Linked DNA regions of Caenorhabditis elegans. The protein of the gene in region 2 interacts with the protein of the main gene of each other region in a pairwise test. Each region holds a gene or a part of one and is shown on either strand. Other genes may lie near its edges. The genes, in order: Y57A10A.8 and mfsd-13.2.

What was found.
Region 1: the proteins of mfsd-13.2 (region 2) and Y57A10A.8 interact in a two-hybrid assay, tested with the Caenorhabditis elegans proteins (one large-scale study listed by BioGRID).

The regions. Positions count from the first base shown.
Region 1 is NC_003280.10:12,162,221-12,172,345, forward strand, and holds Y57A10A.8 (SPK domain-containing protein), read left to right. Parts: upstream 1-2,618; 5' UTR 2,619-2,626; coding exon 2,627-2,784; intron 2,785-3,044; coding exon 3,045-3,158; intron 3,159-3,980; coding exon 3,981-4,271; intron 4,272-4,870; coding exon 4,871-4,984; intron 4,985-5,464; coding exon 5,465-5,674; intron 5,675-6,930; coding exon 6,931-7,276; intron 7,277-8,088; coding exon 8,089-8,304; intron 8,305-8,355; coding exon 8,356-8,418; 3' UTR 8,419-8,542; downstream 8,543-10,125.
Region 2 is NC_003280.10:7,160,992-7,168,646, reverse strand, and holds mfsd-13.2 (Transmembrane protein 180), read left to right. Parts: upstream 1-3,067; 5' UTR 3,068-3,167; coding exon 3,168-3,272; intron 3,273-3,634; coding exon 3,635-3,739; intron 3,740-3,792; coding exon 3,793-3,902; intron 3,903-4,378; coding exon 4,379-4,724; intron 4,725-4,768; coding exon 4,769-5,014; intron 5,015-5,056; coding exon 5,057-5,211; intron 5,212-5,554; coding exon 5,555-5,641; intron 5,642-5,689; coding exon 5,690-5,896; intron 5,897-5,953; coding exon 5,954-6,116; 3' UTR 6,117-6,204; downstream 6,205-7,655. Other genes in the region: col-36 (Cuticle collagen 36), read left to right, coding at 1-91, 140-971; C27H5.12 (Ferrochelatase), read left to right, coding at 7,112-7,123, 7,168-7,299.

The DNA.
Region 1 (10,125 bases), 5.0 Mb from region 2:
CACTGAGATCAAGCAGAAAATCAAAGAGTCGATTAGAACTGATAATGATAAGGTAGACAGTACTAATAAAAATAAAAATTTGAAATTCTATATTTTCAGTTCCTGCAAATCACCGACATTTGTACAGTACTGCAGGCATTTTTCTTCGGAATCAGTCGCAAATTCAGATTAGCCGCGGCCGCTTCTAATTCCCCAGCTATGAAGATGAAGGATTTCCTGGTCAAATTCAAGTTATTTCTTCTCGGATTGGATTCCTCCGAGCTTCTAGAGCTTCAGCAGAAGGTTCAAGAAAATATTGATGAGCAAACGGAATTGGCAGAGAAGGTTTTTAGAAGTCGTCAGAAATTAATTATATTAACAATAAAAATTGCAGGTTCTTCCGATCAGCGACGTTCGTCAATCTCTCCAAAACCTGCTCTCCACAATTTCTCAATATTAAATTATTTAAATTTTGTTGAATTTTTTGTTGAAAAAACAGGGTTTTCACCTTGTTTTCTTGTTCTTTTTTGTTTTAATAATATTTAATTTTCATTATTTTAACGCTCTTCTTTTTTTATTCAAGTTTAATTTTACCTTATGAAATATTTAATTTTTAAAAAAATGTCTTAATAACAGATATTACCTAAATGCAAAATTTTGTAGAATGAGGAGTACTGTAGTTTCAACTGTATTTTTAAAGGCGCACATTATTTTTTACTGGGTTCCTAAATTTTGTCGTGTCGAGACCGTCAAAACTTACAAAGTTTTGTGCAAAATAAAATTCGGTGAAAATTGAATGTTCGCATTACAAAACTGGCGTTCTCAAAATTTTCAAAATTATCAGAATTTCCAATATTAAACTGCAGAATTTTTTTGCCTAAGAGATCATAAATTTTTATGATTTTTTTCCAATTGAGGAAAAAAGAGCAAATTCGACAATTTTCCGAAAATAAAAATATACGATGCACCATGTTAGACACAGCTGGCAGATGAGAGACGTCAGAGAAAAAGGGGACGCGTGTCTGCGTCTCTCATAGGCGATAGACAGGCTAGAAGGGTTCTGTTTTGTGATTTTCTTACTGGGGTTCTTTTCAATTTATTAAAGATTTGTTTAAAAACGTATGCAATTCCTGAAATATTTAAATTTTTCTGAAAAATCGAATTCTTCAAGATTTTTTAGGATTTTATTTGAATTTGTTGAATATAAAAATGTGCTTTAGGCATCATATTCAGAAAATGAATAATTTTTTTAAATTATTTATTTATTAGTTTTTTTCTAATTTGTATTGATTTTCTAAATTAAAAAAAAACCAAGCTACCACATTTTTTATTTTTCAAGAATATACATATTACGCTAACACAAAATTCTGAAAATGCGTATTGCACAACATATTTGACGCGCAAAATATCTCGTAGCGAAAACTACAGTAATTCTTTATAAAGCTACTGTAGCGTGTTTGTGTCGATTTACGGGCTAGAATGGATATTTAAATTTATTTATTTCTCGATAAAATATGAAAATTAAGCTAAAATTTAGAAAATAATGCCGAGAAACGAAAATAAATAAAGTATTACTGTAGTTTTCGCTACGAGATATTTTGCGCGTCAAATATGTTGTGCAATACGCATTCTCAGAATTTTGTGTTCCTCTAAATATGTTCTGATTTTTAAAAATTTCCCTACATTTTTATTCTTCGGCTATTAGGTCTCCAAATAAGTTCCGGGTCAAAAATCATAACTTCTTTCGCCTTTTATCGATTTTTTTGAAACTGTGGGAATTTATGTTATCAACTATGATCTTTCATTTTGATATGGTCACAAAAAATTTTGACCACCCGGAGTGCCCTAACTCGAAGCCAATTTTTTCAAGCATTTTTCTGATCTCGCTTCTTTGCAGCTTTGAATTGAGGTTTATGTGCGGACTTTGCTTTGTTTAGAATACATTGTAAGAAAACAAAAAAAGTTTGGAAAAAAATCCGTCCAAAAATTTTTTTTTGGTCGGTGGTCAAAAAATTTTTTATTTTTTTTCAAAACTTTTTTTTTCGAAAATTCTTGATTTTTTATACAAAAATGATGTAGTCATGTGTGAACTATTTTTACAAATACAAAACATTTTAACTAAGTTCGTCACACTCAAATGATAATAGAAAACATAATTTTTTCGAAGAATTTTTGAGTTTTTTGAGTATTTCTCGAGATCCAAATTTCAAACTCAAATGTTTTGTATGTATAAAAACCGTTTACACATGGTTACATCATTTTTATACTAAAAATCAAAAACTTTCGAAAAAAATTTTTTTTGAAGTTTTTTTGACGACCGACCAAAAAAAATTTTTTGGACGGATTTTTTTCCAAACTTTTGTTGATTTCTTACGATGTATTCTAAACAAAGTAAAATCCGCACACAAACCTTAGTTCAAAGCTGCAAAGAAGCGAGATCAGAAAAATGCCTGAAAAATATGGCTTCGAGTTAGGGCACTCCGGGTGGTCAAAAAATTTTGTGACCATTTCAAAATGAAAGGTCATAGTTGATAACATAAATTCCCAAAGTTTCAAAAAAATCTATAAAAGGCAAAAAAAGTTATGATTTTTGACCCGGAACTTATTTGGAGACCTAATATTTTCTGAAATTCTTGCAGACTTCACAATGAACGCTGACACTGCCGATGAGGAAATCACGAAACTTTTAGAATTTCTCATTGAACAGACGAAAGATGCATTTGAGCCGATGAGAGCGTTGGCGGTTTTTGAATCATTCGGTCAACTTGAAGAGGATCCGTTAGACCGGAAAACCTATCATTATAGGTGAATAAACTGGGCTGAAAATTGTTTTTTGCGAAAGAAGAAATATTTTCAAAAAAAAAAAGAAAAGAAATAATAGTAATTTTCTTTTAAAAAAATGACACCTAGAATTGTAACTTACCAACAAAAAAAAATCATTTTTCGCTATTCTAGTTTATTTGGCAAATATGTTTTTCTTAAAAAATATTAAAAATACGAAAAAAATTCGATTTTGTTTTCTTCAAAAGTTAGACGTTTTTTTCAAAATATAATAATTAATTAAGGTTTCATCAGAAGATTGCTCCGAATATGGATTCATGGAACAATTATAGTATCGAATCGAGAATTCGATTGATGTTCGCATTGGCTGGAAGAGTTCGGGATAATTTTCTAGAGAGGTGAAAAAAAATTATTTTGAACTTTTTTAATTTAAAAACACCTCAAAAGAGGTTTTTTTCAATAATTGAAAGAAAAAAATTCAAAAAAACCACATTTTGCAACAAAAATTGAATTTTTCGTCGAAATTGAAAAAAAAAATGTCTATAAAAATTAATTCAAAATTTTCTGGAAAAAAGTAAATGAAATAATTTTTTGCAATTATTTTATAACAAAAATTCAGTATAATAATTTTTTTGTGTGCTCCTGATCCTGAATATCAATGTGAAAAAATTCCAAAAAATTTCCCTGATTTTATATTAATTTTTTTTAATCCGAAAATTTATTGATTTGTTAAATTCAAGCGACAAATTTTGACTGATAACCGTGCCGCAGGTGTGTGGATTTACGAGATTAAGATTTTTAATCCATTTTTATTTAATTTTCATACCTATTTTCCCGATTTTTATCTTTTTTTCGTTGTTTTACATTGAAAATCTTCGATTTCTATTAATTTATAAATTTTTATTAATGAAAATCACAAGAATTTCAATGTAAAACGACGAAAAAACGAGAAAAATTGGAGAAATTGGTATGAAAATTAAATAAAAATGAATTAAAAATATTAATCTCGTAAATTCACACAACTGCCGCACAGTTATCAGACAGAATTTGTCGTTTGAATTTAACAAACCAATGGATTTTCGGATTTTAAAAAATTAATTAAAAATCTGGGAAATTTTTTTGGAGCTTCAGAAATTCATTTCAAAATGTGCTTCCAGAATGCAAATTTTCAGGCAAATAAATTAGGAAAAAATTTTTTTTCAATTATTTCCAATTTTCAGCATCCAATCACAAGGAACCGTCGAACTTGATGAGAAAAATCGAATTTGCGAATATATCTCAAATGATGGAACATTGACGTTAAAAGGAGATCACAGTGATTCTGCAAGATGGGCTAGAAGAATCACTTCCACCACGAACCCCACAAAATCCGCTGCTTTTGCCGAAAAATTCATGAATTTCTTGGTCGAAAAAACCAAAAATGTCGTTGAGCCCGTTTCGGTTGGTGGAATTTATGAGGAATTCAGTCAAATTGATGGTTTTGGACTTTCGCCAGCCGCCTATCGTACCAGGTGAGACACCAGAGATCAAGGGATTTTATGGGGTTATTCATGTGATGACGAAAAATGAAAAAAATGTAAATTTTTATAAATTTTTCCTCTATGTGTAGAAAAATATTTTTTTTAAATATGCATTTTTCTACACATGTGAATAGGGAAAAATGCATAAAAATACATTTTTGCATTTTTCGTCAACACATGAATAACACCCCAATATTTCGAAAATTTCGAATTCCAATATTTTTTGAAACAAAAACGAAATATTATACTACATTCTAAAAATGCGTATTGCACAACATATTTGACGCGCAAAATATTTCGTAGCGAAAACTACAGCAGTATCTCTTTAAAAGACTACTGTAGAGCTTTGTGTCGATTTACGGGATCTCGATTTTCGATTATAATTGAATTTCGTAAATCGACACAAACGCTACAGTAGTCATTTAAACAGATACTGTAGTTTTCGCTATGAGATATTTTGCGCGTCAAATATGTTGTGCAATACGCATTCTCAGAATTTTGTGTTCTCGTAATACATTTTTTAAAAAAAGAAATTCGCTTTTTTTAGGATTTTCTAAAATTAAAAAAAAATCAATCAATTTTTCTTCCAGATTCCACATAAATATTGTGCCGGAGATCAATGAATGGAACAGCTACAGTATCGAAGAACGAATTCGATTGTTAATGGCGTTAGGTGCACTGGTACCGGAAGATTTTCTAGAGAGGTATTAGGAAATTCGGAGAATGCGTATTGCACAACATATTTGACGCGCAAAATATCTCGTAGCGAAAACTACAGTAATTCTTTAGATGACTACTGTAGCGCTTGTGTCGATTTACGGGCTCGTTTTTCGCCACTTTTGTGTGCTTTTTAATTATATCAATTTATAAACGGTTTCCGTAAATCGACACAGTAGTCATTTAAAGAATTACTGTAGTTTTCGCTACGAGATATTTTTCAAATATGTTGTGCAATACTTGATCACCTAAATTTGACATCTTATCATCTGAAAAGGTGTCGTTTTTATAGGTGAAGTACCGAAATCTGGAAAATATTTTAAAATTGGAAATTTTCTAGAAAAAAAATACGTGGCCGTGGAAAATATCAGAAAACTCGGCCACCGACTTTTTTCCAAAATTTTTCTTTTTTTTTTAAATATTATATGGAATTTTCTTTAACACAACATTATTGAGTTAATTTCCAGAATTGAAGCGGAAGGAACTGTAGATCTTGATGAAAAGGGAAGAATTCTCAAATATAGCTCAAATGATGGAAATTTGAATCTCGACAAACGTAATATTGCAACAGCAAATAGAAGAAATAGTACAGCAGCACATCGAAAAAGAAGTTTGGATCGTGATTCTGAAAGCGGTAGTGCGAAAAATGCGAGAGCTGTGAAATCTGAGCCAAAAAGGTTTTTAATTTCCTCAATTAAAATGGTTTTTCGATTTTTCGATTTTTTTACAAGAATTTAAATTTAAAAAAAACGCAAATTCGTTTTGAAGAAGAAAAAAACCAAAATATTTTCAAAAAAAAAGCTTAAGATTTTGCAAATTTTTATTATATTTTACTCAGGCATGAAATATTTAATTTTTGCGCTAAAAATACGGTCTCGACACGACAAACAATTAAAAAAAAAATTTTCCTTCAAAGAGTACGGTAATTTCAACTCTAGGTAGTTTCATAATTCTTCAATAAAATGTTTTTTTCATTTTTTTTTGTTGATTTATTAATTCAAAAATTTCAGTTTTAAATTACGGTACTCTTTAAAGGCGCACGCCTTTTTTGCATTTCACAACAAAACAATTATCGTGGCGAGACCAATATAAAATGAAATCATTTAAAAAATCGATTTTTCTTTTCAAAAACTGTCGAATTTCAATTTTTGTGTCAAAAAATACGGTGCTCGGTCTCGAAAAGACAAAAAAAAAACAAATTTTTGTAAAATGCGGAAAGATGTGCGCCTTTAAAGAGTACTGTAATTTCACTTTTTGAGGAATTTTCATAATTTTTCGATTAAAAAAAAACGAATTTATTCACACAAAAGTTTGAATAAAACAATATACAGTACTCTTTAAAGGCGCACATCCTTTTGCATTTTACAAAAATTATCGTGGCGAGACCGGCGAAAAAAAAACTCAACGTTTCGTGTCTGAGTAATAAAAAAGAAAATTTTTGAAAAATCTAATTTTTTTTGAACGAAAATTACCAATTCTCATAGTTTTTTTAAAAAATAAATTAATGTTTAACACAAAATGCTGAATTTTCAAAAATTCAAATTTTTTGAAATTTCAAAAAGTGTGTTTTTTTATTTTCAAAAATTCAATTTTTTTTTTATTTTTAAAATTTCACGGCGTTCTGGCCTTCCTCATTGAATTTTTCGCGCTCCATTGACAATCGCCCGCCGGACAACGCGTGGGAAAGTGTCGTGTACTCCACACGGATAAATACATTTAGTTTTACAACTGAAATAGAGCCGCGACGCGACACGCAACGCGCCGTAAATCTACCCCAGATATGGCCGAGCCAAAATGGCCTAGTTTGGCCTAAACCCTTCCATTTCAATTTATGAGGGAACCCAGAAATCCATGATAATCTTAAACAAAAAAATGTTGAAATTTCAAAAATCAAATTTTCTTTAAAATTCAAATTTTTCTCGTAATTTTCCAGTAAGCCCCAATCGGATCTTCATTATTCATCTGAAAGTGACACTGATGACGTGGAATTCGTTGAATCACTGCCAGGAAAACCGAAACTTGAACCCATTGATTACGACTACGACCAATATTTTAATAGAGATGTATCATATAATAATTATGATCAAGAAGAAGTTGAAAATCGAAATGTCAGATTATCGATTGCTAGCTCAATGCCTTCACTGGAGTCGAATGTTATTAAATTGAATGATTTCCTGAAAGAAGTTCGCAAATTCCTGTGCTTTCTCGAAATTTCGGAACTCGACGAGCTCAAGCATCAGATCAAAGAATCGGTTGTTCAGACTGCTGGCGCTAATGAGGTAGCAAAGATTAGAGTATTTTCATTAGATTTGTTCAATTTTTTTTGGAAAAAAGGATTAGGCTTAAGATTAGGCTTAGGCTTAGGATAAGGCTTAGGCTTAGGCCTAGGCTTAGTTTTAGGCTTAATATTAGGCTTAGGCTTAGGCTAAGGATTAGGCTTACAGTTAGAACTAGGCCTAGAGTTAGTCTTAGGATTAAGATTAGAACTAGGCCTAGAGTTAGTCTTAGGATTAGGCTTAGAACTAGGCCTAGACTTAGGATTAGGCCTAGGCTTAGGCTTAGGCTTTGGCTTAGGCTGAGGCTTAGGCTTATGTTTAGTATTACACTTAGGCTTAAGCTTGGCGTCAGTGGTGAGCTCGCTACTGACGCTATTTAGGCTTAGGATTTTCCGGTTTTTTTGATTTTTAAGGGGGTTCCAGTTGGCCGATTAGGATTAGGCTTAGGCTTAAGCTTAGGCTTAAGCTTAGGCTTAAGCTTAGGCTTAAGCTTAGGCTTAAGCTTAGGCTTAAGCTTAGGTTAGGCTTAATCTTAGCTTAGGCTTAATCTTGGACTTTAGGCTTAGGCTTAGAATTAGGCTTACAGGCTTACAGGCTTACAGGCAGGCAAGCCATCTTGAAATATTTTTTTGAGAAAATGTTTAAAACTGTAAAATTAAAAAAAAATTTCGACCAAAAAAGGACAATTTTTAACTGCAAAATAAAATTATAACTTTCTTGAATTTTTTTTTGAAAATCATAATTTTTTGAACCGCTAATAGTAAAAAAAAAACCAAAATTTGTTTTTAATTTAAAAAAAAAGTAGATTTTTTCAGAATCTGGAAATCAGCGATCTTTGTACATTACTCGATGCATTCTTCTTCTCGATCAATCAAAAAACCAGATCAACTATTCCAAATGATTCCACTATGCCGGTCAATGTATTCCTCATCAAATTCAAATGCTTCCTCCTTGGAATGGAATCTCCTGAATTTCTAGATCTTCAGGAGAAGGTTCAAAGGAAGCTTGACGAGTCGGATATCACGGAAAAGGTTTTGAAATTTCAACGAAAGATTGTTTTTTTTTATTTGAAATTGTTTCAGATTCTTCAACTGAGCGACATCCAACACGCTGTACAATATCTGTTCTTTTCTGTTTCTCATTAATTAATATGTTTTTTCTTGAATATTTCTGTTTTGCACGATATCCTGTTTATCCTCCACTTTTTCGATCTCTTTTTCTCACGAGTTTCCAATTTTTGTTACAAGGTCATGAATCTGTTAATTTTTTAAAATTTTTTTTAATTGACATAAAAATTAAGACGTCATCGGAAAATATTGTTATATGCGTTCTAGAGGGCTGAAGTAGAAAAAATTTTGTTTTGAGTATTAAAGTAGTTTTTTTTTGGACAAAAACATTTTTTTGAAATCATACCAAACCACTAAAAATTGAAATATGGCAATTTTTTGAGTTTTTGAGTAAATTTCGAGTCCTCTTACTACAAAATAGCCCATTTTAGAGGACTTTCGAAATTGTGAATTTTTGCCATAAATTGCCCAATTTTGCCACTTTTTAATTGTTTTTGACGGGTTAAACTTAGATTTTCTGAATTCAGCATATATGGTTTACCCTTTTTCAACAAATTTAGGCAATTTTTTATTTTTGCCCAATTTTTTCAGACATCTAATTACTGCCCTTCTTTGGGCAAAAAAAATTTTTTTGAATTTTCACAAAACTATTATAAATTGAAAAAGGGCAATTTTTCACGGTTCGGAGATAAATTTTGAGTCCTCTAACTACACTGTAGTATCATAACCAAACTACAGTAGCACTGTAGTACCATAACCAAACTACAGTAGTACTGTAGTACCATAACCCAAACTACAGTAGCACTGTAGTACCATAACCAAACTACAGTAGTACTGTAGTACCATAATCAAACTACAGTAGTACTTTTGTTACCCTAATCAAACTTCAGTAGTATTGTAGTACCATAACCAAACTACAGTAGCACTGTAGTACCATAACCAAACTACAGTAGTACTGTAGTACCATAATCAAACTACAGTAGTACTTTTGTTACCCTAATCAAACTTCAGTAGTATTGTAGTACCATAACCAAACTATAGTAGTACTGTAGTACCATAATCAAACTACAGTAGTACTTTTGTTACCCTAATCAAACTTCAGTAGTATTGTAGTACCATAACCAAACTACAGTAGCACTGTAGTACCATAACCAAACTACAGTAGTACTGTAGTACCATAACCAAACTACAGTAGTACTGTAGTACCATAATCAAACTACAGTAGTACTTTGTTACCCTAATCAAACTTCAGTAGTACTGTAGTACCATAACCAAACTACAGTAGCACTGTAGTACCATAATCAAACTACAGTAGTACTTTTGTTACCCTAATCAAACTTCAGTAGTAATGTAGTACCATAACCAAACTACAGTAGCACTGTAGTACCATAACCAAACTACAGTAGTACTGTAGTACCATAACCAAACTACAGTAGTACTTTGTTACCCTAATCAAACTTCAGTAGTATTGTAGTACCATAACCAAACTACAGTAGCACTGTAGTACCATAACCAAACTACAGTAGTACTGTAGTACCATAACCAAACTACAGTAGTACTTTGTTACCCTAATCAAACTTCAGTAGTATTGTAGTACCATAACCAAACTACAGTAGCACTGTAGTACCATAACCAAACTACAGTAGTACTGTAGTACCATAATCAAACTACAGTAGTACTTTGTTACCATAACCAAACTACAGTAGTACTGTAGTACCATTTCAAAATTACAGTAGTACTGTAGTCCCCCCTGAAACACTTCCCCGTTCCAAAATTCCTATCACT
Region 2 (7,655 bases):
TGAAGATTGACAAAGAAGACGATCAGCAGCAACAGATGCGCAGAGTCGCATTCTTTGCGGTTGCTGTCTCAACTGCAGCCGTCATTTCAAGGTAATTAAAAACTTCACTCTTCAGATTATCTAAACTTTGAATTTTCAGCATCGTGACTCTCCCAATGATCTACTCTTACGTTCAATCTTTCCAATCCCATTTGATCATGGAAACCGAGTTCTGTAAAACTCGTGCTCGTGATATGTGGGTTGAGATGCAAGTTCTCCACAAGTCAGGTGTCACCCGTAGCCGCAGAGATGCTGGATACAAGGAGGGATCTGGCAGTGGTGGATCTGGAAGTGGTGGATATGGAGGACCAACTGGAGCTGGAGCCGATATTGGACCAACTTGCTGCCCATGTCAACAGGGACCAGCTGGACCACCGGGACCAGCAGGAGATACTGGACCAAACGGAAATGATGGACATCACGGAGCTCCAGGAGTTCCAGGAAAGGAAGGATCCATTCTCAGCTCTGCACTTCCACCATCAGAGCCATGCATCATCTGCCCACCAGGCCCACAAGGAGCCGTTGGACAACAAGGACCAAAGGGACCACCAGGACCAAAGGGTAAATCTCAAGAGAGAGCTGCCGACGGAAAGAACGGAGAACCTGGAATGATTGGACCCCCAGGACCACCAGGAGGTGTTGGAGAGCCAGGACCACCAGGACCAGCTGGACAACCAGGAAGAGTTATTCAAGTAAACGGAGCTGCTGGACCAGCAGGACCACGTGGAGTCAAGGGGCCACCAGGACCAAAGGGACTTCCAGGAATTGCTGGGCTTACCGAAATCGGAGGACAAGGACCACCAGGAGATGCTGGAGGCCCAGGACCAGTTGGAGGACAAGGACCACCAGGACCACAAGGACCACAAGGACCACCAGGAGATGAAGGATCTTGCGATCACTGCCCAGAGCCACGTACCCCACCAGGCTATTAGACCACCAAGGTCTCGCCGTGAATCTGATTCCGGTGCTTTTGCTGTATGCTGTTCTGCCTTCTTCATTTTTAATTTATTGTTTTATTTAAATTGCTCATTTATGTTTTTCTTTGTTGTTTGGCTGACGACTCAACCCAAGCTCGACTCAAATAAACGCTCGCTCGAAATTCTTTGGTTCTCAATTCGATCAGTACACAATTTTATTTATTGTGTTTTCAAGTACTCAAAACAAAAGTCCTAATAGCGGGGGATTGTAGTTTATAGTGTTTATCGAATTTAATAAAATATCCAAAATAACAACACAGAAAAGTTACAATTGCAATTAATGTTATCGCTGCAGTTTGACATGGAAAAACGATGATGATAAATTGTGGAACAGGAGATTTGCAAAGCGTATATTCCTCCATGAGAACTTATTTGGCAGTTTTGGTATATTATTTGTATGTTCTTAGAATGAAAATTCAGAATTTGAATTTACGATTTCAAAATACTGTTAGAGTATGCTTAAAGTTATAGGTTTCCTATCTACGAACTTGAAATCAGTTCTTAAATATTTGACCACTAACGTGTAAAATACAATCTACACTCCAAATAACTTTTGTAGTTTGTGTTATTTCTGTGTCGATTACATATTTCCTGAACAATTTTGAACCGTGAACACAAAATCGAAGTGACAGGAGGTGGAGTCGATGTAATCACGCATTAAATTTTAATATTCCAATTGGTGAAAAGATAAGAAAGTCAAAAATTGCCTAACCCTGTCGTTTTATACTGATAATGAAAAAACTAAATATTTATTTTTGTTCCTACTTTACCCTTTTTGAATGATCATGGTTCATCTAAACTACGCTTTTTTTTCAAAAAAAAATTGAGTCACATTATAGTCGGTTACACCAAAATACGTAGTCTCCCGCCCTTCCTAGTTTTGTTTTAAATATCCAAATCCCTTTGGATTTTAATCGATCTCAAATACGTAAAAACCGTATTTGATCTGAAACTTTTGGAATTTTATTTTATTAACTGGCAATTCCGTCATGACCCAAATTCGTTCGGTACGTTTTGTAGTCAAAGCTATACGCAATACGGTCTCACTACATCGGTATGGATGTAAACGTTTTCAGGAATTTAATTTTGCTTCAATATCCAACAGAAATTTAATTTTCACAACATTTTCGAAATTTGGCAATATATGGAAATTTTCTGGTCTTCTTCATGTTTTTTAATACCGTATTACGGCCGTAAAACATAATTTCTTAAAATACTTTAAAATAAGTCAGAAAAATAAAATCAGTGAAAAAATCTAGATATGTCGCAAAGGAATCAGTACCAGTTTTCAAAATTCTGATTTGTTAGTCCATTGTGGCTGTTTGGAAATAGAATTTTAGGCAATCAACAATTACCGGAAGTTTTTCAGCAATTTGCCATTTATATTTTTGCCAAATTTTTTGTAAACTGCTAGATTTTTCCTTTCGCTGAAAAAAAGCATGGCAATTCATTAGCCGATTTTGGCAAGCCGTAAGAATTGCAATTTTCGGCAATTGAAAATATTACAGCCATCCACCAATCATTTTTTTTCCAGTCTATCAATGTTCCTGGTGTTCGGTATAGTCAGCATTCATTATTTATGCGAAAACAGCTTTTAAGTGCACCCAATCTCTGAGGCATTGTTTTTGAATAACTAAAACTTCCATATAAATGTTACTGCCTGTATTTTTCTGTCAAAAAATTCGGTTATCAGCCAAAAAATGAAGTGGATGAATAAAATCGTGCGTTTTGTTTTATTTTCAGCTTTCTGCACTGTCTACAATTAAATATCGTTGTTTTTCTTTCAGGAAAGCATGGGTCTTCTCCATATGCCAACATTAAACCTTGTTCTAACTGTCGTTGGTGCTGGATTCATATTGTCAATTCAAAGTTTATATTACATAAAGGTGAGAGAACTATTGTCTATCTATCAAACAAAAATAATTCGTGTCTTCCAAAAAAAATGAAAAAAAAAACTGTAAAATTGAGAGTGCGGGAGGGGATAAAATATGGTTGCCATGTCATGAAGAGAACTGTAGAATCAGAAGAGATAGAGATAGAGACGTGTTTGTTTTGTTGTGTCTATTCATTTGATACGGACTCAACTAGAAACATTCTGAAGAAAAAGAAGAAGACGAACGGAGATAGGTGAAGAATAAATATCGATAAGTGATGGTCTCATTTACTTTTCTTCTTAGTTATTCTGCTCTTTTGATCGGACTTATTTCATTTGCTGCTGATTCAATTAACTATGTATTCACATCCAAATATATCCAGGTTACTTACAATATAAAATTCATTTTCATTTACTCTTGATAAAAAAATCAGAATGAGAACTGTCACAAGAAATTATTCGCACCAAATTTCAGTGGAGCTTATGTACAAGCGTTAAAAAAACATTTTTCATATACCGTATATCCTCTATTAGTAAGGCGTGCAAAACTAATTTTCGGACACCTAATTTGATGCAAAACTAATAGAGGCGCCTTACTAATAGAGGATGTACGGTAAGCTGTTCAATCTAATTTTTTATTCATATTCTATATTGATTATGTTATCAATGGGTGGTTATCGCCTATGATTTTATGATCTATGTTATAGGCTCCATCGCTTCAAATAATTATTTCAAATAATTTCAGGTATTTTTCGATGAATTCCATCTACCACCGTCGTATCTCAAAGTTGTGCAAATTCTGTTTCTGGTATGGAATGCTGTAAATGATCCAATGATGGGCTATATGCAGGTAATATTATTTGCAGTATTTATGTATATTGATTTTAAATTCTGTAATTGCAGGATTTGGGATTTTGTGGCATGAAATGGATTATGGATCGAAGGAAGGTTGTCCTCTACGCGGGACCCGTTTTTGCAGCTTCTTTTCTGCTTTTTTGGTTTCCATGGTCAACGTGAGTGAATGAATTTTTATTTTTTGATAAGAACATCATGGTCTATCAACGGAAACTATTAAAAAACATGACATAAAAAGTACAGAGCATAATATTTGGTTAGGTGAAGAGACAGGGAAGTGTTCACAGATTATGTAAAAATTTAACAGAAATTCGGTTTCGATACACAACAGTGGGAATTTGAATTAAAATGTACTTAGTCTGAACTATCACTCCGAACAATAATGGGCTCAATTGTATAAAAATGATGAAATCTGAATCAATAAACATTGGAAACTTTCTGACAGATAGGATGTTTAATGTTCAGAGTTTGTATAAGTGCCAGTACAACTTTCCAGTAAAGTTAAATGGAAATTTTATATAATTTGAAAAAATGAAAAAAATTATCTGACATCCAATGTTTTAGAACTATTGTTATGTCATTTCATTTAAGGTTCACATGAATAAACTAAAATTCAGAAGCTCTTTGATTTCAGATCAATTGGATGGGTAACAGCTCTTCACCTTCTTGTTTCTCTATTCATTTATGATACTCTACTCACTTTGGTTCTATCTGCATATTGTGGATTATGTGTCGAGAATTCAAGAAGTCATGAAGATCGAGTACGAGTTATTGTATACGGGGAAATCTTTACAATTGTCGCCGGACTTCTCATTTATCCATTGGAAACTATGCCACATACAAATGAACATTATTGGCTTTTCCAGCTATGTTGTGTTGTTATTGCGTGTATTTCAGCTGCATTAATGGCTTTCTCTGGATATCATTTGAAAGTTGAAAGACCAATTAACGAAGATCATCAATTGGAAAAGTTTCAAGAGGTTAGTGAAAAACAATATTGTTTTTCTACAAATAACTAGTTTAGGGTGAAGTAGTGAAAGAAACAAAACAAGATGGATGGAAGAACGCCCTGACAGTTTCTTTGCAAATTGCAAAAGAACCAAGATTCATTTGCCTTGTTGGAGCTCAATTCTTTAGAATTCTCCGATTTATTGCAAATGAAAACTTTTTGATTGTATTCACAGAGGGACTTCTTGTAAATAATGGTTTCTTTGAGAAAAACTCAGGATCACTTGGATTATTTTACGTTCTTGCACGATCCAGTGGAAGTGTGAGTAGATTCTTCTTGATCTGTGAACATGATCAGTTTCAGATATTATTCCTGCTTCTCTGGGTTCCAACAAATCGATTTGGAACTCAAGCAGTTATTCAATCTCTCAATATTTTATCTATTTTCAATGTTATTTTTATTCTCTACGCCGGTGTGAATAATATCACAGCAATTGCAATTTTTATTATTTTGGAAAAGTAAGTTTTTCGAAACTTTGGTAGAGCACTTTGGTAGAGCGGCGAAAAATTTTTCAAAAAGCCGTTTTGAGAAATTTCCGCAATTTCTGTTGGTTTGAATTTCTATAATTTTTGAACATGAACGATTGAAACGCAATTTACAAATAAAAATCCGTAGAACAACGTATTTTTTGGCCAACTATCTAAATTTTGGTTGGGGAAAACTAAGTTTCTTGACTTATCAGCTGCAAAAAATCCATGAGATTTTTAAAATTGGAACTTTGGTATTACTTTTGTACTATAGAACCGGTGTTTAACATTTTCCGCACTGACAATTTTTGTAGTAATTTTTCCAAATTTTCAGCGCAATTTCTCGTTGTGGGTGGCAAGGATTCTACATAGTTGTTGCTGGAGAAGTTGTTGATACTGATATGAAAACAAATAATAGAAAGTTTGTTTCAATATTTTCTCTACATTAAAAAATCAATTTATACTTCAGAACACCATTCTCAACAATCATTTTCACTTTGAAAGCTCTTTTCAACAAACCAGCTGATCAACTAGCGCCTGTTTTCGTTCTCTCATTATTTTTAGAACGAGGTGGATACCCACAATTAACTGTTCCCTGCCAACAATTTTATGAAGATAATTATTCAAATTCAACAATGTTCAATTCTACATCTATGGAAAGCACCACGTTGTCTGGGTTTGTATGCGTTTTGTATTTTCCAAAAACTAATATATAATTATATAATTTATTCAGATATCCGACAGTAGCAGAATGCACTAATTATTCACAATGGATGTTCTTGGCTCTTGCAATTTTCCCTGCAATCTGTGCAATTGGAGAGTCAATGTTTGTTGCATTTGATCAATATTGGAGAAGGCATATCAAAGGAAAGACTGGTCATTTGGGAGATGACTAAATTTTTAATTTCATATTTTCTTGATCTCAATATACATTTTTAGTTGTAAATAAATTATCAAAAAAATAAATAACGAAAATCTCTAAATGATAGGAACCTAACTGAAAAAAGTGTTTATTACGGTAGTTGTGAATGGTGACAGTAAAATAGCTATACTAATTGATTCATGATGGCATAGAATTGAAAAAAAATCTGGTCAATTACAAAAAAACGGATTGAATTAATTCGCGATATATAAAGTATAAACGCTGAAAACTCAATTAACTGATTTCTCCGAATAATGTTTAAAAAATGCCGAATTATCCTTTTTGTTTCAGAAATGCAATCACAAATTGTAAAGTTGATGTCGCCTTGTATTTTGAGTTCAACTTATTGAAAAAAAATCTTTAGCATCTTTAGATTTGAAGTTATGCTTTACTTTGATAGCTCGACTTTTTTGCAATAGTTATCACAAATTTACTTTCCGTTTTACATTTTTGTTATAATTTTTAGAGTTGTGTTTTTTGCATCCAAAATGATCGACAGTCATTCATGGGTCGGCTCGCCACATTTTAGGGTGGCTCTGAAAAAGTCTTAAATATGCATATAAAACTATCGATTCCAGGTAAATTGCATCAAAATCCAATACAAATTCAAATTCCCCTTCTAAACGTGTAATCTTATTGTTAATGGAAAAGTTTGGGAATATCATGCATAGCAACTGAATCTATTTGGAGATGTATTTTACAAAAAAAAGCTAATGCTCAAGTGACACACAAAAACCGACTGTTTCCTTCATGGAATGTAGATTTGGTCAATTATTACTAAACAACGCTCCGACTGGAGATATAATGATGAATTAAGTAACAGGCGGGTCAACACCATATATACAGGTACAATGCGCAACTGTCGATGACTCTCCTTTCCTTCTAACCGTGTGCATTGTCTCCTTATTTTCAGCTGCCCGAGAGACTGTACGTACGAAACTGCTCTAATATTTTTTTACAGGATTTGCAATGTGTTTAACGGTGAGTTGAGTTTTCCTCCTTTCATCTTTCATTTGGCATTTCAGAACTTTGACCCAATTAACGCTGTGTTTGATAATGAAATAATTCTGGACAAGATTTTGAACAATGTATCGAAAGATGTTTTTCCCTTGATACCGTTAAGGGTATGGATTTGTATTTCGAGTTCAACTTGTTGAAGAAAATATTCAATACACTCAACAAAATAGAATGCCAATCAATTGATTAAATGCTTCCGTTGTTAACCTTTTTCAATTACGTGCCTTTATATATTTTATTACTTTCAATTTATTCATAAATATAAACGTATTTTCTCGTTTTTGATTTGATTTTACGATGAAAGGTGGCTCAGTTTTTCCCATTGATAATTTTTTCTTAGTCAAACTTCTGTGCTGCTAAAACTATTTTCAGTCCTTCCCATTCAACATTAATTTTTCCAGCAAGAATTGTAGTGAAAAAACACAGTACTTCTCATTATCAAGCAATTTTTAGACCTAGCACTAGCCCAAATCAGTATAGTTTTTGTACCGATAAA